Linked DNA regions of Pelodiscus sinensis. The protein of the gene in region 1 interacts with the protein of each later gene in a pairwise test. Links are inferred from orthologs where the notes say so. Each region holds a gene or a part of one and is shown on either strand. Other genes may lie near its edges. The genes, in order: PDIK1L and C23H1orf174.

Region 1 (8,581 bases):
CCCCAATACGAGTTTCCTGCAGCTCCTGGCCACTGCTGTGAGTTCAGGAGCCTTGGACTACTCACTGCTTAATACATCAGAAATCGATCAGAGCCAATGTAAAGACTTTTGCCCAGAACATGCAACAGTGTAAATTTTTCATTTCCTTAAATTGTCAGTGTTATATAATTTTACTGGTGTGACTTTATTAAGTCTGCTAGAGTTGCATGTCTATGAATCCGAAAATCCAGGGAATTCTGTTTAGCAGATGGTATTCAAACATCTAGAGACCTCATACCATCATTTACACTGTATGAAGAAAGAAGCAGGCCAAATCTTCCCCCTTTTCCTGTTCAGCTACAGATCCCATAAAATTATTCCCATCCTCCTTCGCATACCTGTAAATAGAGGGAAGAACTAGAACCATGTGACATCTTCTGTACCATACCATCTTTCTGCAAGATGCACTCCTCCAGATGGATAACATTTGGATGCTGGCTCTTGATACTACTAAGTGCCCAGAACTCACGTAACGCTAGTTCCACATTCTCTGGAGCATGGCACCGAATTTTTTTCACTGCAACCCGTGCAGAGGTCTTCCTGACAAGTGCTTCATACACCACACCGTAACTACCACGTCCAACCTCCCGTATTAGATCGTACTTTGGCTGGCTACTCACCATCTTCAAGGCCAAGGGTTCTGGGGAGGGGGGAAAAAAACATCACATGACAAAAAATCCTATGAATAATGACTGATCTGCTTTTCCTCTCTGAATCAGTTAATTAAGTATCATTTGGGCTAATCACTGTGCTTAAAATCAGGATTCCATTCAATAAACTTAAATAAGATTGTAATGAGCCATTATTTTCAGATGTTACCAATATGAAGAAGCATTAAACTTGTTCAGTAAAGCCACAATTAACGCCAAGAAGGATTTTCAAGTGTTACACTTTAGGCTAGTGATATAATGTTAGCCAGCATTTATCATAACATGTTCACAGTTCAAGCCCACAACATTTCTAGCTTTCACTTGCATTAGGTCAGGCTAAAACTGTTACATCTCACAGCATCTTTTACTTTAACATTTTGTTCAGTATCAGTGGAGTACAGTGCTTCCTTTCCCCACATTTTATAGCATTTTCCAGTAAAGGTACTAGCAGAAGCACATACTTAGTGGATCTTACGCACTGTTTCAAACTACATTAAGTGGAAAGTCACAGACAGCATGGGTAAATGTTTTATGGTGTAGTTTATTAAATGGTTTTCTAGTACCAAGGTAAAGGAGTATTTAAAAAATGTTTTTAATTTATAAAAATTAAATACAATCTGAACAGTCAGTTTAAACTGGGCAAGATATTTAAAAACATTCTACATTGTTTACATTCAAATTCTAGTTTCATTATGAAAGGAAGGAGGAAGGACTAAAACTAGTATGTTCATATTTTAAAAAATGGGAACATACCCAAGATCTTCTTTGCAAGGTTACATACCAGAAAATACAACATTACTCACTAATGCAACCAAGCCAGAAAGGAACACTAAATAGACAGAAAATAAACTTTGGCTATCATCACTGGCCAAGTGGAATGACTTGCAAAAAAACAAAGGACTAAATAGAAAACGAGCAAGTCAGGGTATTAGAATGAAAATGATTTTAGAAGTTAGTATCGCAGGCAAGTTGTATTTACCACAGGAAACCATTCACTAAACACTACTTCGCTGAAGCAAAACTATCAATCAACTTTCAAGTACCTACAAAGCGTGCACCATAAAAGAAATAATGGATATCCGTCTCATGACACCATTAGTGCAGATATATGGAGATGTGGCAGCAACATCTTTTATGTGAGTTTACAATTCTGAATGCATTTAAATATAAATTCCCCACAGAAATGCCAGTACAACGTGAGATTCAGATAGTAATATTTATTCAACCTGCTCCTATATTGTGATATAAGCATATGGAGAACAGTGCAGACTAAATGCTAAGGTAAATTAACAAGAACATACAAAAACAAAGGCACTCGCACACAAAAGAGGCATTAAGTATGGATAGTCAAAAAACTACATACAATTAGTGTAGTTGTGAAAGAAAGCTATGGTCATTGCAGGCTCAAACAGTAGGGAGCACAATTTACCTTTGAAACATCAGTTTACACAGAAGCAGGTCTATAGGTAAATAAAAGGCTGCCACCTGTCCTTCCCCATTGTCCTAAAGAGTTGGGGGGGGGGGGGGGGGAAGAGATTTCCAAATTCAACAAGCCCCTCCTCTCACAAGGCATCAGAGCCTATACAATAATCTAATCTAAGCAAACCTCACATCCCAGAAGACAGACTGTGAAGAGGGGTAACTGTTAGTCTGTTTCAGCAAACACAAGGAAGTCCTGTCGCACCTTAAAGACTAACCCATTTATTTGGGCATAAGCTTTCCATGCGCTTAAGCCCACTCTGTCAGATTCCTAAATAAGCAGTAACCCAGTTAACCATCAGCGGTGAGGTTAACAGAAATGATGGTGAAAACTGACCCACACAGGAAACCCCAAAACGTGCCCGTTCCATGGTTCTGGTTCTTTAGGCTATAGGAGCAGGGCCTGGACATTGATTGGCTTTGGGGGGGGTAGAAGGCTCCCCCTGTATATTTTGTAGTGGCACATTTCACAGTTTCTACCCCGCTCCTCCAGGAGGGCTCTCGGCACAGAGCAGCAGACCCCTAAAGGAAGGGGGTGCTGAGGGACTGGTGGCTTAAATGACTTTTACTGAGGTGTCTCCAGCCCATGGGCTGCCCCAACATTTAAATCAAGTCCTGGAAAAAATAGGGGGGGGGGGGAGAGTGGCGCGTTATACTGCACCCCCCCCCATGAGCAGGGTTCCAGGCCAGGCCTCCAGTCCTCCCTGGAGGCCAGAGCTGCCCCCCCCTCCGGGACAAGGGGGGAGCATCAGGAAAATCCCCCCCCCAGCAGGCGAGGCCCCACAAACCAGGCACCAGCAGGTGAGGCCTCCCCCCCCAACCCCCCTTTTCTCCTCAGCACAGCCCCGCCCCATCCTCTCTCCTCAGCCCCGCCCCCCCAGCCCACCCCCCTTCTCCTCAGCCCAGCCCCGCCCCCACCCCATCCGTCCCCCTCAGCCCCGCCCCCCCAGTCCCCTCCCTCAGCTTGACAGCGGGGGACGCAGCTTCCCCTCCCGCCAGGGTTTCCCTCGCGCCAGGGGCCCCTCCCCTCAGGCCGCGCTGCAGCCCCGGGCCCGCGGGGCTCCCGGCCGCCTCCGCGTTACCTCAGCAGCGCCGCGCGCGCTCCTCCCGGCCGCCATTATAGGGTTCTCTTCCCCCCCTCCCCCACTCCGGGCGCCGACACACCCCCCTCCGCGCGCCCCCGCCGCCGCCGGGGCTCCCCTCCCGCGCGCGCGCCGCCCTGGCCGCTTCCCCATTGGCTGAAAGGGCGGGCGAGCCCCCGCGCCTGCTTTGTGGCGCGCGCCGCCGCTTCTGATTGGCCGGGGCCGGATGCGCACGGGGCGGGACTTTCCCGGGGAGCTCGCGCCTCTGTTTGCCGCGTGGGATGCTCCCCCTCGGTTCCATGCGTGGGAGGGGGGAGGGGAAGGATGCACCATGGGTGCAGCTCCCAGAGTGGCCCGGCAATGAGGCTGCCCCATTTAAAGCAGCTGGAATGGGGGGAGGCGGGTTCGTGTAGCCCCCGGTAGGATGCAGTGGGGGGTGCTGCGCCATGGATGCAGCTCAAATGGGGGGGGGGGGCACCTCGCGCAGCTGGGAGAGGGGGGCGGGGGCTGTGCGGCCACGCAGCTCGTATCAACACCCCAGGTGCAAACCCAACGTGCAGCCCTCTTCGGTCGTAATGGGTTGAATTGCACAGGACTGGCCCGAGCCCTCCCCCACCCACTTCCCCCAGGGGACGCTGCTGCCTCCTGCTTGCTGCAGCCCCCCTGTGCAAACACCTACCGTGCCTGTCCCTCCTAGCTGCTGAGTGTCCTGCTGAATTTTAAGGCATTTCTCATTTTTTTATCGTCCGCAATTAGATCTTTGTCATTACAAAATCATAATTTCGCTTTTTTTAAAAAAAACAAAGCAGCCCCCATTAGACTGTCGCTTATTGGTTGCCACCCAGGGAGGAGGACTGCACCTTTTGTTATCCCTTGTCACTGTGTGATGGGGACATGCCTTTTAGGGAACTGCAAGCACGTTGAAGGATGCAAGCATTTGGTAAGATCCTTCCCCCCCTCTTGTCTAGAGGATGGAGGGCTATTGGTATCTTCCCTTAAAGGGACATGTCTGCATTTTTTCCCTGCTGGGAAGTGTGTGGACACACTCCCTGACTATGTGGTGTCTCTCTCATACTAGCCACTGCAAGACATGCAGTTCAGAAGCTATGGCAGCCACCTGAGGCCCCATCTTCTTGATCCCAAATCAATGTGGGAGCAAAGGCACCACTTGCACATACATGTTTAGTGCCCCTGGACTTCATAGCACAAGACGGTCAGGTGTCAATCTTCCTATAACACTCTCACATGGACTGGGCCAGGGATCAGTGTTCATTGCACACACCCACAACTCACACCCATTAACATTCAGACACACTCACACCCATTAACATTCTCAAGCACCTGCCTAGGAAAAACAGTGGAAGGGCCCTGCACCGAGGTCCCAGTATGGACAGTCTAGTACAGAGTACAGGGTGCCCACTTTTATTGTGTGGAAGTAACATCTTACTCTTTAGATTTTTTTTTAACTTTTTTTTTGCCGTAAGATGAAGCCTGTCTGATTAACTCAGTCAGCATTTATTTTGTGTGGTATGTTAATTTGGCCGTTAGGCTCGCAATAGTAGCTATCAGACAGTATCAGTGCATTGATGGCATTAAGGGAGGCAGAAAGAGTGTACAATAGAGATCGGATAATTCCCTAATCTAGTTAAGCCACACTCTGTCCCTCCACATTTGCCACTGTACTGTTCGAGTCTATTGATGGGGAGAGTTAGGTAGCCAATGCTGAAAAGGGGTTCATGTTGCAGCAGTCACTTCATAATCTATCTGTATGCAGGTGTTTAAGAGATCACACTCGATGAAGAGAGATTAAAAAGACTGGGATTTTCAGTTTAGAAAAGGGGAGACTAAGGGGGGATAGGACAGAGGTCTATACAATCATGACAGATATGGAGAAACAAATAAGGAAAAGTTATTTTCTTGTTCCCATAACATAAGAACTAGGGGTCACCAAAAGAAATCAATAGGCAGCAGGTTTAAAACAAACAAAAGGAAGTTTTTCTTCACTCAGCGCACAGTCAACCTGTGGAACTCCTCGCCAGAAGATGTGGTGAAGACTAGGACTTTAACAGGGTTAAAAAAAGAATTAGATAAATTCATGGAGGTTAGGCCCATTGGTGGCTGTTAGCCAGGACGGGTAGGGATGGTGCCCCTGGCCTGTTTGTCAAAGGCTGGGAATGGGTGATGGGAGAGGGATCACTTCATGGTTCTCTGTTCTGTTCCCTCCCTCTGGGGCCCCTGGCACTGGCTACTGTTGGCTGCCAGGACACTGAGCTGGATGGACCTTTAATCTGAGCCAGTCTGGGCATTTTTATCTTCTTACGTTATTTTAAGGGTACATTTATAAATGGTTTGTACAATTGCACCTACCACCAATGAACTCAGCAGCCATCCACCTACTCATCACATTGACATATTTGCAGCATCTATCAGTAAAGTATTGACCCGATATAAACGATAACGACACCCTTGCCATAAAGTATAAGCAAGCATTCTGAGCTTTAACTTCAATGGGACAGAGGGCTGGGCGGGAGTTTGCAACTGTAAGTTAGTCTACTGGTACCAGTAATAAGGAAATACTGTAAATCTTCAGCTAGTGCCCTTTTCAGCACTGCAGGTTCCCAGAGTGAGACTGTATTGACATCTAGTGGCCAAGTGGATTACAGGCAGGCCCTTCAATTGCAAAAGGGGAAGATCTTAAATTGCCAATCTCCTAGAACTGGAAGGGACCTTGAAAGGTCATCGAGTCCAGTCCCCTGCCCTCACAGCAGGACCAAGTACCACCCTGATGAATTTTTGCCCCAAATGGCCTCCACAAGGATTAAACTCACCACCCTGGGTTTAGCAGGCCAATGCTCAAACCACTGAGCTATCCCTCCCTTAAGTCAACTCTTTGTGTTTAATTGTAGCTGTTTGTGGATATTTAAAGTCTTTCAGACTAGCTACTGGGATGGGAGGAGGGATCAAAGCTCATGTGACTAACCCAGGCCAGAAGGGCTTGAGTGGGAGCCGGTGACACCAGGAGGAAGCCTGGGGAACTGTAGCTGGCTCAAAGAAGCAGCTGCAGGTGAGTGAACGGTGCATGGAGCGAGACTGGCTCTTGCAGGGACGGGCTGTGGGGTTACAACCCCCTCTGGGAAGGAAAATTGAGGGCTCCTGAGTCAAATGAGTCATTGCTCTGTGAATTGAACACATGGTTCTGCTCCTCCCGGTACCTGGCGTCTGTCTCTTGGCCACCCTGCAAGTCTTGCTGCCGTGGCTGCATGGCCTTCTCCGTCTCCCCGTGAAGTTCCACCAGCTTCACTGTTGGAGCGGAACTAGTGCAACGCGTGAATGGAGTCCATATCCACCCCCCAGCTCGCTGATGCTGGGTGTATCCGCCCTGCTCAGAGCATCAGCTAACAGCAGGAACTGGCCTGGACTATCTGATCTCTGCCTGCTCTCCCTGGAGCACATCGCTCTGTGCTGCAGTCCCTTTGGCTCACGAAGGGGCTCGTGGGGTCTGTGGTCGTACGGCGCTGTGACTTGGTGCCCGAGGCATGCGGATGGAGCAGCTTCCCCCCAGAGTCGTAGGCAGAAGCTCTTTCTCTGTGTGTGCATGACCCTCTTCATCTCTGCCACGGTTCTGCTGGCGCCAGGGATCCTGCAGAAGAGCCCCGCCCTGCCCGGGAATACCGTGGAATGATCAAAACCCGGATATTTGGATTGACCCAAACACTTTTTCATCTTTTCACTTCGGGACCATTTTTGTGATATTGACGTTTTGTTGCAATTCAGAACTTTAAAGCCACTTTTCCGTGCAGCTGGGACGGGGGCAACTGCTTATTGGTGGGTCTCAGCACAAACTCGTTTCACGTAGGCCACCAAAAAGCCACCCAAGGCGACGACTGTTAATTGCTAACTGCTCGGGCTGGATTAGACTGGGCAAACCCCGGGTGACCAGTTCCCTCTCTCATTACCATTCCCCTGTGACGTCCAGCCCCCTCCCCACCCCAGTCAAATTACTCTGGATGCTTCCTGATCTCAGAAACAGACACCTCTCAGCTTTGCACTCTTCATTCCTGTTGCATTACGCCCAGGCTCGGAGGCCACATGCGGCCCCTGGCTTTCCTGGATCCAGCTCCTGAGGCTAGGGCCTCCCCCCAGCATTGGGGATTCCACGCTGGTGAGGGGTGGATTTGTTTGTTTCTCACTTGTGTGCAGCCCCTGACTGATATTTCTGAGCGTCAGTGGCCCTCGACCCAAAAACGGTTCCCCACCCTGCAGGAATATCATTCTAGCCTGTTACCCTGTGAGTTGACCCTAGCTTTGTCAGCATAGGAGAACTTTAAAGAAGGGACTCGCAGTGTTGGAAGGGGCCGGTGCCCAGTTTAATCCTGGCCATGCTGTCACCAGGAGCTTTTTCCAAAGTCTGCAAATCCTCTGGTAAGGAGGCAGGACTGAGAATAGCCACAGCAGCTGTCAATGGGCACATGTGAAAAATAAAACCCTGGCTTTTGTGGCGCTAGGTGGCACTTTGTGATTTCAGATAAAGGGTCTCGTCTGACCAGGCTCCACAGATGGGGACAAACTCCGCTGCTGAGGTTCCCCCAGGAACAGGCCAACGCGAAAACGTTCCATTGGTGACGAGGTTCAGGCTGCCGGGAGAGAGGCTTCTTCCTAATGACTCATTTAGAAAGTGATAGACAATAAGGCAGAGACTATCTTACTGCCTCTGTAACATCCACGGGCTGCCCACAGCTGGAATACTGCCTGCAGATGTGGTCGCCTCATCTCAAAAAAGATACCTTGGCTTTGGAAAAAGTTCTGAAAAGGGCAACAAAAGTGATTAGGGGGTTGGAACGGCTGCCATATGGCAAGAGATTAAAAAGACTGGGACTTTTCATTTTAGAAAAGAGGAGAGTAGGTTGGGGGGGCGGGGATATGATAGACGTCTATAAAATCATGGCTAGTGTGGAAAAAGTGAATAAGAAAAAGTTATTCACTTGTTCCCATAACGTTAGAATTAGGGATCACCAAATGAAATTAGCAGGTAGCAGGTTTGAAACAAACAAAACAAAGTTCTTCTTCACACAGCGCTCAGTCAACCTGTGGAACTCCTTGCCAGAGGAGGTGGTGAAGGCCAGGAGTTTAACAGGGTTCAAAAAAGAACTAGATACATTCACGGAGGATAGGTCCATCAGTGGCTATTAGCCAGGATGGTTAGGGACGGTGTCCCTAGCCTCTGTCAGAAGCTGGGAATGGGGGACAGGGGATGCATTGCTTGATGATTCCCTGTTCTGTTCACTCCCTCTGGGGCACCGGGCGTTGGCCACTGTCGGCCGACAGGACACT
Region 2 (9,059 bases), on another chromosome or scaffold:
TTAATGAAGTGAGCGCTGGGGTTATGTCTACATTGCGCTCTCTTGAGCAAGAACATATGCAAATAAGGCACGGCAATGAATATTGCCTCATCTCCTTTGCATACTTAATGAGCAGCCATTTTTGCGCAAGGGGCTTTTGTGCAAGAAGGAGCACTCTACACTGCTCCTTGTCCAAAAATCCCCTCTTGCGCAAGAGCTGTTCTGCTGCTTATTTTCAGGCAGAACTGCTCTTGCACAGGAGGGAGCTTTTGCACAAGAAGGAGTAGATTGCTCCTTGTGCAAAAGCCCTTTGCGCAAATGGTGGCTCATTAAATATGCAAATGAGGCACAGCAATATTTATTGCCACTCCTCATTTGCATTTGTTCTTGCACAAGAAAGCGCAATGTAGACGTAACCTGGGTGTTCTCTAGGAGGCTGCAATTTGATCCAAAGCTATACCTCTAAGGAAAACTGATTTTATGATTAACAGTGTGTTTAAAATTTGACAATTACATTTCAGAAAATTACAAACATTTCATCACCATTTGGAATCATCTTCCCATGGAAAACACAGAACTAACATACCAAGTGAATAATTACCAATCATCAGATTGTTTTGACAATGTTATTTACAGTTACCATAACAGAACGAACTTTATACACCTTATTTTATGAGATGACGATTATATAGGAGTTCACAAAACAGTACATAAACACATTGCCCTTTATGCTGTGAACAAATCCAGAAAACTGACTCCACAGTGTATAAACTTGTTCCCTCAATTGTGTTTTTTGCATGGCCATATAATAAAATACAAATATAGTGAGTCTGAAAAGGTATTCTTTAACAAATTCTCAAGCTAAATCTATCACACTGATGCTCATTTTGTAACTGTTTATAGTTAGATGTAAAAAACAAAACAAACCCTTTCTGCATTGTTTAAACAGATTTTAAACCTCAGAAAAAACTGTGGTTCCCACAGCAGCCATAAGTAGGCCACATTGCACATACATTAAAGTAATAATGATTGCTGGGGAGGACACATTATTTCCTAGCAATTAGTGACTTGCTGAAGGAATGGAGTCATTAACCTCACCAGTCATTAACTGACCAGAAAATGCCCTAACTATTCATTATTGCCATTATAAACCACAATACTGTAAGTGAGGAAAAATAAGTTACCACTATAAACTGCAAGATACAACTGCACATTACTAGAGGTTTTTTCCCCATAATTTTTTTAGCCAGTACAGTAACCAACAGGAAGTCAGGATCTCACTTCCAGTGTGTTGCACTATAGTATGCTATTTTCCTTAGAACCATTTCCAAGGTTTTATGATGATAAAAACGTAGACAGTTCAACTGCAGTATAAACATAATATGCAAAAACCTGGTTTTTAGAGTGAAAAGAAAAAGGTGCCACTGCATTTTTTGCAGTTAGGTATTACTGCTTGCATGTTCAAAAAAAACTGCACACCTCTGCCATACCCTGAAGTAACTTGAGGAATTAAATGTAGCTATATCTGATCGGCAGTACCTCTAATTCCTGAGACATCCATATTAACAAGCAGATACATGAACAATCACAGTGATGAATGTTTAATATATCGACATATAGAATATTAATTTCTAATACAAGGCATGTCTGTTAAGCAAGTTTATGTCCATCTATCCTTGCTCTCGGCATAACTATGGCTACGTCTACACTGGCATGATTCTCTGGAAATGCTTTTAACAGAAAAGTTTTCCGTTAAAAGTATTTTCAGAGAAGCACGTCTAGATTGGACGCTTTTCCGCAAAGAAGCCCCGATCACCATTTTTGCGCTCGGGGCTTTTTTGTGGAAAACAAATCTTTGCTGTCTACACTGGCCCTTTTGCGCAAAAGTTTTTCGGAAAAAGACTTTTGCCCGAACGGGAGCGGCATAGTATTTCCGCAAAAGCACTGACAATCTTACATGAGATCGTCAGTGCTTTTCCGGAAAAAGTGGCCAGTCTAGACACAGCCTATGTGTACACTAAGTAACATTTAGTTGTAACCATGTCAGTCCCAGGATATTACCAAGACAAGGTGAGCGAGGTGATCACTTCTGCCGAATGGTCCCTTAACATTTAGCGGTAACATCTAGAACCTTTAACAGACCTGAAAGAAGAGCTCTGTGTGACTCAAAAGCTAGTCTCTCTCACTAACAGAAATTGGTCCAATTAAAAATATTACTTTGCCTCTGTAATAATATAATAAAAACATTTTGCTCAACATATTATTTTGATGGCCTTACTAAAAGTCAAAACATCCCCTAAATAATATTCCAAAGTTAACAGCTCATTGCAAAATGAATGTAAGTAATGTTCTTCAAACAACTCAGGCAGCAAAAGTCACATGTTTTTCCTACCAGACACACTGTTTTTGTAGATTTGCAAAGATCAACCTCTTGAGGAGATGAAAATTGGGTGGCTGCATGGTTTCCACCCTTCTGGCGTGCTGAAGTTGGCACTCCATCTGCAAGCTAAACCAAATGCAATTTTACAATCCAGAAGAGGAAGTGGGGGTTTTGTGACACCTTCAGCAGGAGAAGCATCTCTTCCAGCAACAAGAAATCTCAGAAAATATCATGGTAGGCATCCAAACGGCCATGACAGAGCTCTCCAGAACTGCAGGGTAGAACCCACTCTCCATGTATGTAAGGGGCAGCAGGAGGTTCAAACTCCTCACCACTGGACTGGGACTTGCAAATGGTTAAGACTTGCAGGACACACGGGTAGGAAGCCAGTCTCAGGCAGCGAAAAAGGCCACAGAACCCCACCAGTGCGCAAAGATCGCACCCTGGGGGACTCTGGGAAGGCTCTTGTTAGGGCAGTCTGTGGGGGCAAAGAGCACACCGGGCTCTGGGTGGGAGTGGAGAGGGCCCTCTTTGGGGGAGGCTGGGGCTCTGTGTGATGCAGAGGAGGAACTCTGTGTGGCATGGGGTGGGATACTGGTTAGGGGAGCTCTATGGAGGAAGGGGCACTGGGGGGAGGGCTGGGGTCCCGAGTGGCACAAAGGGGGGGAACCGGTTGGGGGAGCTCTGTTTGGGGCATTTGGGGGAGGGACTGGGGCTTCCTGTAACATGAGGAGGGTAGCTGGTTGGAAGAGCTCTGGGGGGGTCGCTTTGCAGAGGACTAGGGGTCTCTGTTGTGCAAAGGGGTAGCTGGCTGGGGGTATTGGGGATCTTGGGGAGGAGGCTGGCGCGCTGTGGGGTGCAGGGGTGATGCTGGTTGCAAGAGATCTGTGGGTGTGATTCGGGGGAGGCTGGTCGGGGGAGCTGTGTGGGCGCGGGGGGCAGCTGAGGCGGTGGCGCGGGGGGCTGGCTGGAGGCGCCCGGGTGGGTGGATCTTTGGGGTGGCGGGGGCTGTAGCTGTGGGGGGCGCGGGGGTAGCTGGGCGGGGGGAGGCGCAGGGGGCGCTCTGCAGGGGCGGCCGTTTGGAGGCGCTGCGGGGGGCGGGGTCTCCGCGCGCGCAGGGCTGGGGGAGGGGCTCCGTGCGGGGTAGACGGTTGGGGGAGCTGGGGGGGATTGTGAGGGTCCGTGTGGCGCTGGGGGGGGGGGGGGGAGCTCTGACCGGGCAGCCCCAAGGCAGCTCGGCCCTTCCTCACCTTTCGGGTCCTCATCGGACGCCGAGGAAGGGGCGGCTCTGGGCGAGCCCCGCTCCCGCTCCCGCTGCCTTCCCTGCCCCGGCCGCTGCTCGTCACCGCATTCCCCGCGCCCGCACCGCCCCTCACGCAGCGGCCGCCATTTTTGTGCGGGGCGCTCAGAACTTAAGGAGCGGGCGCCATCGTTGTGCGGGGCGCTCAGAACGTAAGGAGCGGGCCGGGGCCAGACACGCAGGGAGCGGGCGCCATCTTTGTGCGGGGCGCTCAGCACGTAAGGAGCGGGCCGAGGCCAGACATGCAGGGAGCGGGCGCCATCTTTGTGCGGGGCGCTCAGAACGTAAGGAGCGGGCCGAGGACCAGACACGCAGGGAGCGGGCGTCATCTTTGTGCGGGGCACGCACGAGGGGCGGGCCAACCGTCAGCGCCATCTTTGTGCGGGGCACCGCCCCGAGCACGTGGGGGCCGAGGGCTCTTAGCCCCAGGGTGGGTGCCGCTCGCAGGTGCTAAGGGGCCTGCAGTGTCGGGGTGGGACATTGGGGTGCAGAGAGGGGGATGTGGCAGGGTAACAGCCCTTAACCTTCAGGGTCCCTGGCAGGCTCCTGGTACCTGTGCCGGCTGCAAAGCTGCTCCCAGCGCCCACCGGCTCCCCGGGAGCCGCCCGCCCCAGCGCTGCTGCCTGAGCCGCTGGGCACGTTGACTGGGTTACGCGCATTTGCACATGGCTGGCCACAGACCGGTCACTAACAGTGGAAGCTGAGATGCAGGGAGCTAAGTGGGCAGCCTGTGGCCCATGGGGCTATAAGCAGCCCACCGGGCTCTGCGTGGCCCACAAAGCGTTTGGTTCACCGTGGCCCACGAGCAGAGTTGTCACATGCCACTGCTTTCTGTCCACCTATTTTTTTCATACAGCTGGCTACTAAAGTGCCACGCAGTAAAGAACGGGCACTGTGAAGGGAAGTGCGGGCTGACTGGACACACTTGACTGGAGAGCTGTGCTCCCTCTGCGTCCCATCACAGCGGTGCTACGGTTTAGTCAACACATGCTGCAAATTGAAGGTGTGCAAGCACAGTGAGCAAAAGTACCCTATCCTGGGAGACCGTCTTGGTTACCACAATCTTGTGGCCCACTGAGATGAAAGACGGCCACTCATGCAGCTCGCTCACTAGCCTAGGTAGACTATTGCTGCTTTATAGCCTTAGACAGCCATTGTCAACACACCACATGTCAAACTTTGCAAAGTAAATAGCCACAAATCACACTCCAACTAAGTTCTCAAGAAGCAATTTCCTTCCTTTCCCTAGCTGTACATTTTCATTATCGTTGGAAATTTTTTTCATCCTTTTCTATTATGGTGAAATCAATGTTTACTGAGGGATCAGTGTTCCCTGTAATCTGTGAGCTTGTGCGGCCACTCAGGAGAGAGTCAAGGGCTGCCCGCTGATTAGCAGAACATCCAGAGCTAAGTTTTTTGTTTCTAGTAGTGGTGCATGTTCGCACATGCCTCAGGGCACATACAATTTATTCTGCACATGGATGGAAAAGATTACAGGGAACATTGCTGATGCTTATCCATAAAAATCTTGTTTTCTCCAAGCCTAATTATGTGCACGCTCATGGAGGAATTCTCCACAACTGTTTCCATGGCTGGGAGGAGAGATCATGCCCAGAGAGGTCACTATTGCCAATTACAAGCTTTACGAAATCATGAGGCAGCCTCACCTACTCAAAAAAAAAAAATCATGAGATTGGCTTAAAAATAATGAGATTTCATAGATAATGATTTGGCTGTTTGAGAAGATATTTGATACCTTCCTCAATGTTGCCATCTTGTGGGAGTTCTGAAAGGATGGGTACTGCTCACAAAGCAACAGTTCTTGGAGTTATGGCAGTTTGTGGGAATCACAGCTTTAATTTAAAGTATAGTAAATGTCTAGTTCCTTGTGGTTAGAATCTAAGGGTATTCGAACTAGGGTGGCTAATGCAGGCATTCAAATGAAGCCTAGGATTTAAATGTAGACTTGCAAATGAAGCCTGGCTAATGTAGGCTTTCAAATGAAGCCTGGGATTTAAATATCCTGGGCTTTATTTTCATGTTCCTGGGCGCTGCCATTTTTAAATGCCCCGTAGTTTGAACTCCCTGCCCGCGGCTACACGCGGTACGGACTAGGTAGTTCGAATTAAAGCTCCTAATTCGAACTACCATTACTCCTCATTGCTTTACTTCGAACTACCTAGTCCGTGCCTACATTTGCAAGCTCGAATGCCTACATTAGCCACCCTAGTTTGAACTAGGGTGACAGTGTAGACATACCCATAGATTCATAGAGCTGGAAGAGACCTCAGGAGGTCATCAAGACCAGCCCCCTGCCCAAGGCAGGACCAATCCCAAATAAATCAACCTAGCCAGGGCTTTGTCAAGCCAAGACTTAAAAACCTCTAGGGATGGAGATTCCACCACTTCCCTAGGTAACCCATTCCAGTGCTTCACCACCCTCCTAGTGAAATAATTTTTCCTAATATCCAACCTAGATGTCTCCCACTGTAACTTGAGACCATTGCTCCTTGTTCTGCCATCCATCACTATTGAGAACAGCCTTTCTCTAGGCTCTTTGGAACCTCCCTTCAGGAAGTTGAGGGCTGCTCTCAAATCCCCCCTCACTCTTCGCTTCTGCAGACTGAACAAACCCAACTTCCTCAGTCTCTCCTCATAGGTCATGTGCTCCAGCCCCCTAATCATTTTGGTCACTCTCCGCTGGACCCTCTCCAATGCGTCCACATCCTTCCTGTACTTGGGGGCCCAGAACTGGACACAATACTCCAGATGTGGCCTCACCAGAGCTGAATAAAGGGGAAGAATCACTTCTCTGGATCTGCTGGAAATGCTCCTCTTAATGCAAGCTAATATGCCATTAGCCTTGGCTACAAGGGCACACAGTTGACTCATATCCAGCTTCTCGTCCACTGTAATTCCCAAGTCCTCTTCTGTAGAACTGCTACTTAGCCATTCAGTCCCCAGCCTGTAACAATGCTTGGGATTCTTCTGTCCCAAGTGCAGGACTCTACACTTGTTCTTGTTGAACCTCATCAGATTTCTTGTGGCCCAATCCTCTAATCTGTCCAGGTCACCCTATTCCTGCCTTCCAGCATATCTACCTCTCCCCCTACCTTAGTGTCATCTGCAAACTTGCTGAGGATGCAATCCATCCCCTCATCCAGGTCATTAATAAAGATATTGAACAAAACCGGTCCTAGAACCGATCCTTGGGGCACTCCATTAGAAACTGACCGCCAACCTGACATTGAGCCATTGATCACTACCCACTAGACCCGACAGTCTAGCCAGCTTTCTATCCATTTTACAGTCCATTTAGCCAATCCATAGGTTTCAAGGTTGTGGAGACAAGCTTGAAAATGTGACCCCTAAATAAGCTCAGAGCACAGAAAGCAAAAAGAACCCAACCTTTATTGTTTTAGAAAAATGCCATGATTTTAAATTAAACTTATATGTCCTGGGGGGCATACATGTTGTTTGAATACCTGACATTTCAATATTATGGCTAATGCTTTACATAGAATCCCCTTTCTGAAAGCAAGGAGGATCAAAAGTTTGCAGACAAACAAAACAATTATATTTTGGGAGATGATTTAAGGCGTAACAAGAGATTTAAAGGGGATATAATAGTAAAAGGGCAGATTTCTTCTCTGTCTTCTGGGTTCCTAGAAGGGATGTGAAAGGTTAACTGGTTAACCAGTAATCGTCACCCTTAATGGATGATGCTTATGAGTTCCGTTAACTGGTGAGGGCTGGAGCAGCCCTGTTCCTGGTGGGCCCCGTGTGTCACAGGCAGAGGTTGCCCTGGGCTTCCGGAGCAGCCCCTGTCTGCAGCAGGGCTGGAGCGGCACCCCCCTCCCCTATAGGCAGGGGTTGCTCAGGCCAGGCTGGAGCAGCCCCTGCCTGTGGCGGGAGGTGAGGGGGATGGGAGAGGGACTGAATGGGTGCTTCATCCCAGCTGAGCTGGAGCACCCTTAATTGGTTAACTGGTTAAACTTCATGTTTAACAGGTTAACCAATTAAATGGGTCTCAGAGGGGTAGCTGTGTTAGTCTGTAACTTTAAAAACAATTTTTTTTAAAAAAAGAGTTGTCCTGTGGCATCTTAGGTCATGTCCAGACTACCTCCCTCTTTCGAAAGAGGGATGTAAATTAGACATATCGAAATTGCAAATGAAGTTGGGATTGAATTTCCTGCACTTCATTTGCATAATGGCGGCCACATGTTCTTTCAAAAAAGAGCTTTTCGAAAGTGAAACCGCCGACTAGATGCGGTTTTTTCGTATCCCCCCCTTTTCCAAAAGATCCTGTACTCCTCAGAAAATGAGGTTTACAGGATCTTTTGAAAAAGGGTTTTTTTCCCGAAAGAACCGCGTCTAGATGGCGATTTCATTTTCAAAAAGCCCTTTTTCGAAAGTACACGTGGCCGCCATTATGCAAATGAAGCATGGGAAATTCAAATCCCAGCTTCATTTGCAATTTTGATCTGTCTAATTTACATCCCTCTTTCGAAAGAGGGATGTAGTCTAGACATAGCCTTAGAGACTAACAAATATGTATAGATAGTATCATGAGTTTTGTGAGCAAAACCCACTTCTTCAGATGAAATGTCTCAAGATCATTTCATCTGAAGAAGTGGGTTGTGCCCATGAAAGCTCATGATACTACCTATATATATTTGTTAGTCTCTAAGGAGCCACAGGACTACTCGTTTTTTAAAAGTGGCAATTAAACAGGATTTTACATCCCTAGTCTCTACTGCACATTTTGTATGTGGAACAGCAATTGATGCTAATTATGAATAAAAATTCATTGGAGGCTGGCAGTGCAGCTGGGAGTGGAGAATTTTGCCCAGAGACAGGACTATGTTAAAATCACCTTTTTATAAAAATGAAGAATCTTGCTTTATGTTGCTCCCCAGTGGGCTGATGTTTCGAAAAACACAAATTTTGCCTTCTCGCTCCATCAGTTACAAACATTACAGATCCTTTTCCCTTCCCACAGCACCTCCTTTCTGTAACTGTTGTTTGATTTATAATATGTGCCATTAGGGACTTATTCAGATTTGCCTGAGTTCATTTTTGCACCCCACAGGGAACAAAGTATGTTAGTAACTCAAATCTGTTTAACTTTGAGGATTCCAGTGACACCAATAATATGAGATGAATTGATGTGAAGCAAGGAATGCAACACCTACATTGAAGTATGTAGTTATTTAAAAAATAATAATTATTTTATCATTTTGAGTAATTATTGGTATCTGTGGTTTGTAACTGACTATGTTTCCATGCCCAGAGCACATGTGCTGGGTAACAGTTGGAGCCCTATCCAAAGTCCACTTAAGTCTATGCAAGGACTCCCCATTGACTTCAGTGAGTTCTGGATTCATACTAAATTACACA

Evidence for each region.
Region 2: the proteins of PDIK1L (region 1) and C23H1orf174 interact in binary tests that used the Homo sapiens proteins (3 or more experiments, as listed by UniProt). The two-hybrid records come from large-scale screens. The link is inferred for Pelodiscus sinensis from reciprocal best matches to the Homo sapiens genes PDIK1L and C1orf174.

What each region holds. Positions count from the first base shown.
Region 1 is NC_134735.1:1,688,342-1,696,922, reverse strand, and holds the start of PDIK1L (serine/threonine-protein kinase PDIK1L), read right to left. Parts: upstream 3,378-8,581; 5' UTR 3,251-3,377; intron 2,193-3,250; 5' UTR 2,119-2,192; intron 680-2,118; 5' UTR 663-679; coding exon 378-662; intron 1-377.
Region 2 is NC_134733.1:22,080,562-22,089,620, forward strand, and holds the start of C23H1orf174 (UPF0688 protein C1orf174 homolog), read right to left. Parts: upstream 3,750-9,059; 5' UTR 3,625-3,749; coding exon 3,610-3,624; intron 2,486-3,609; coding exon 2,372-2,485; intron 1-2,371.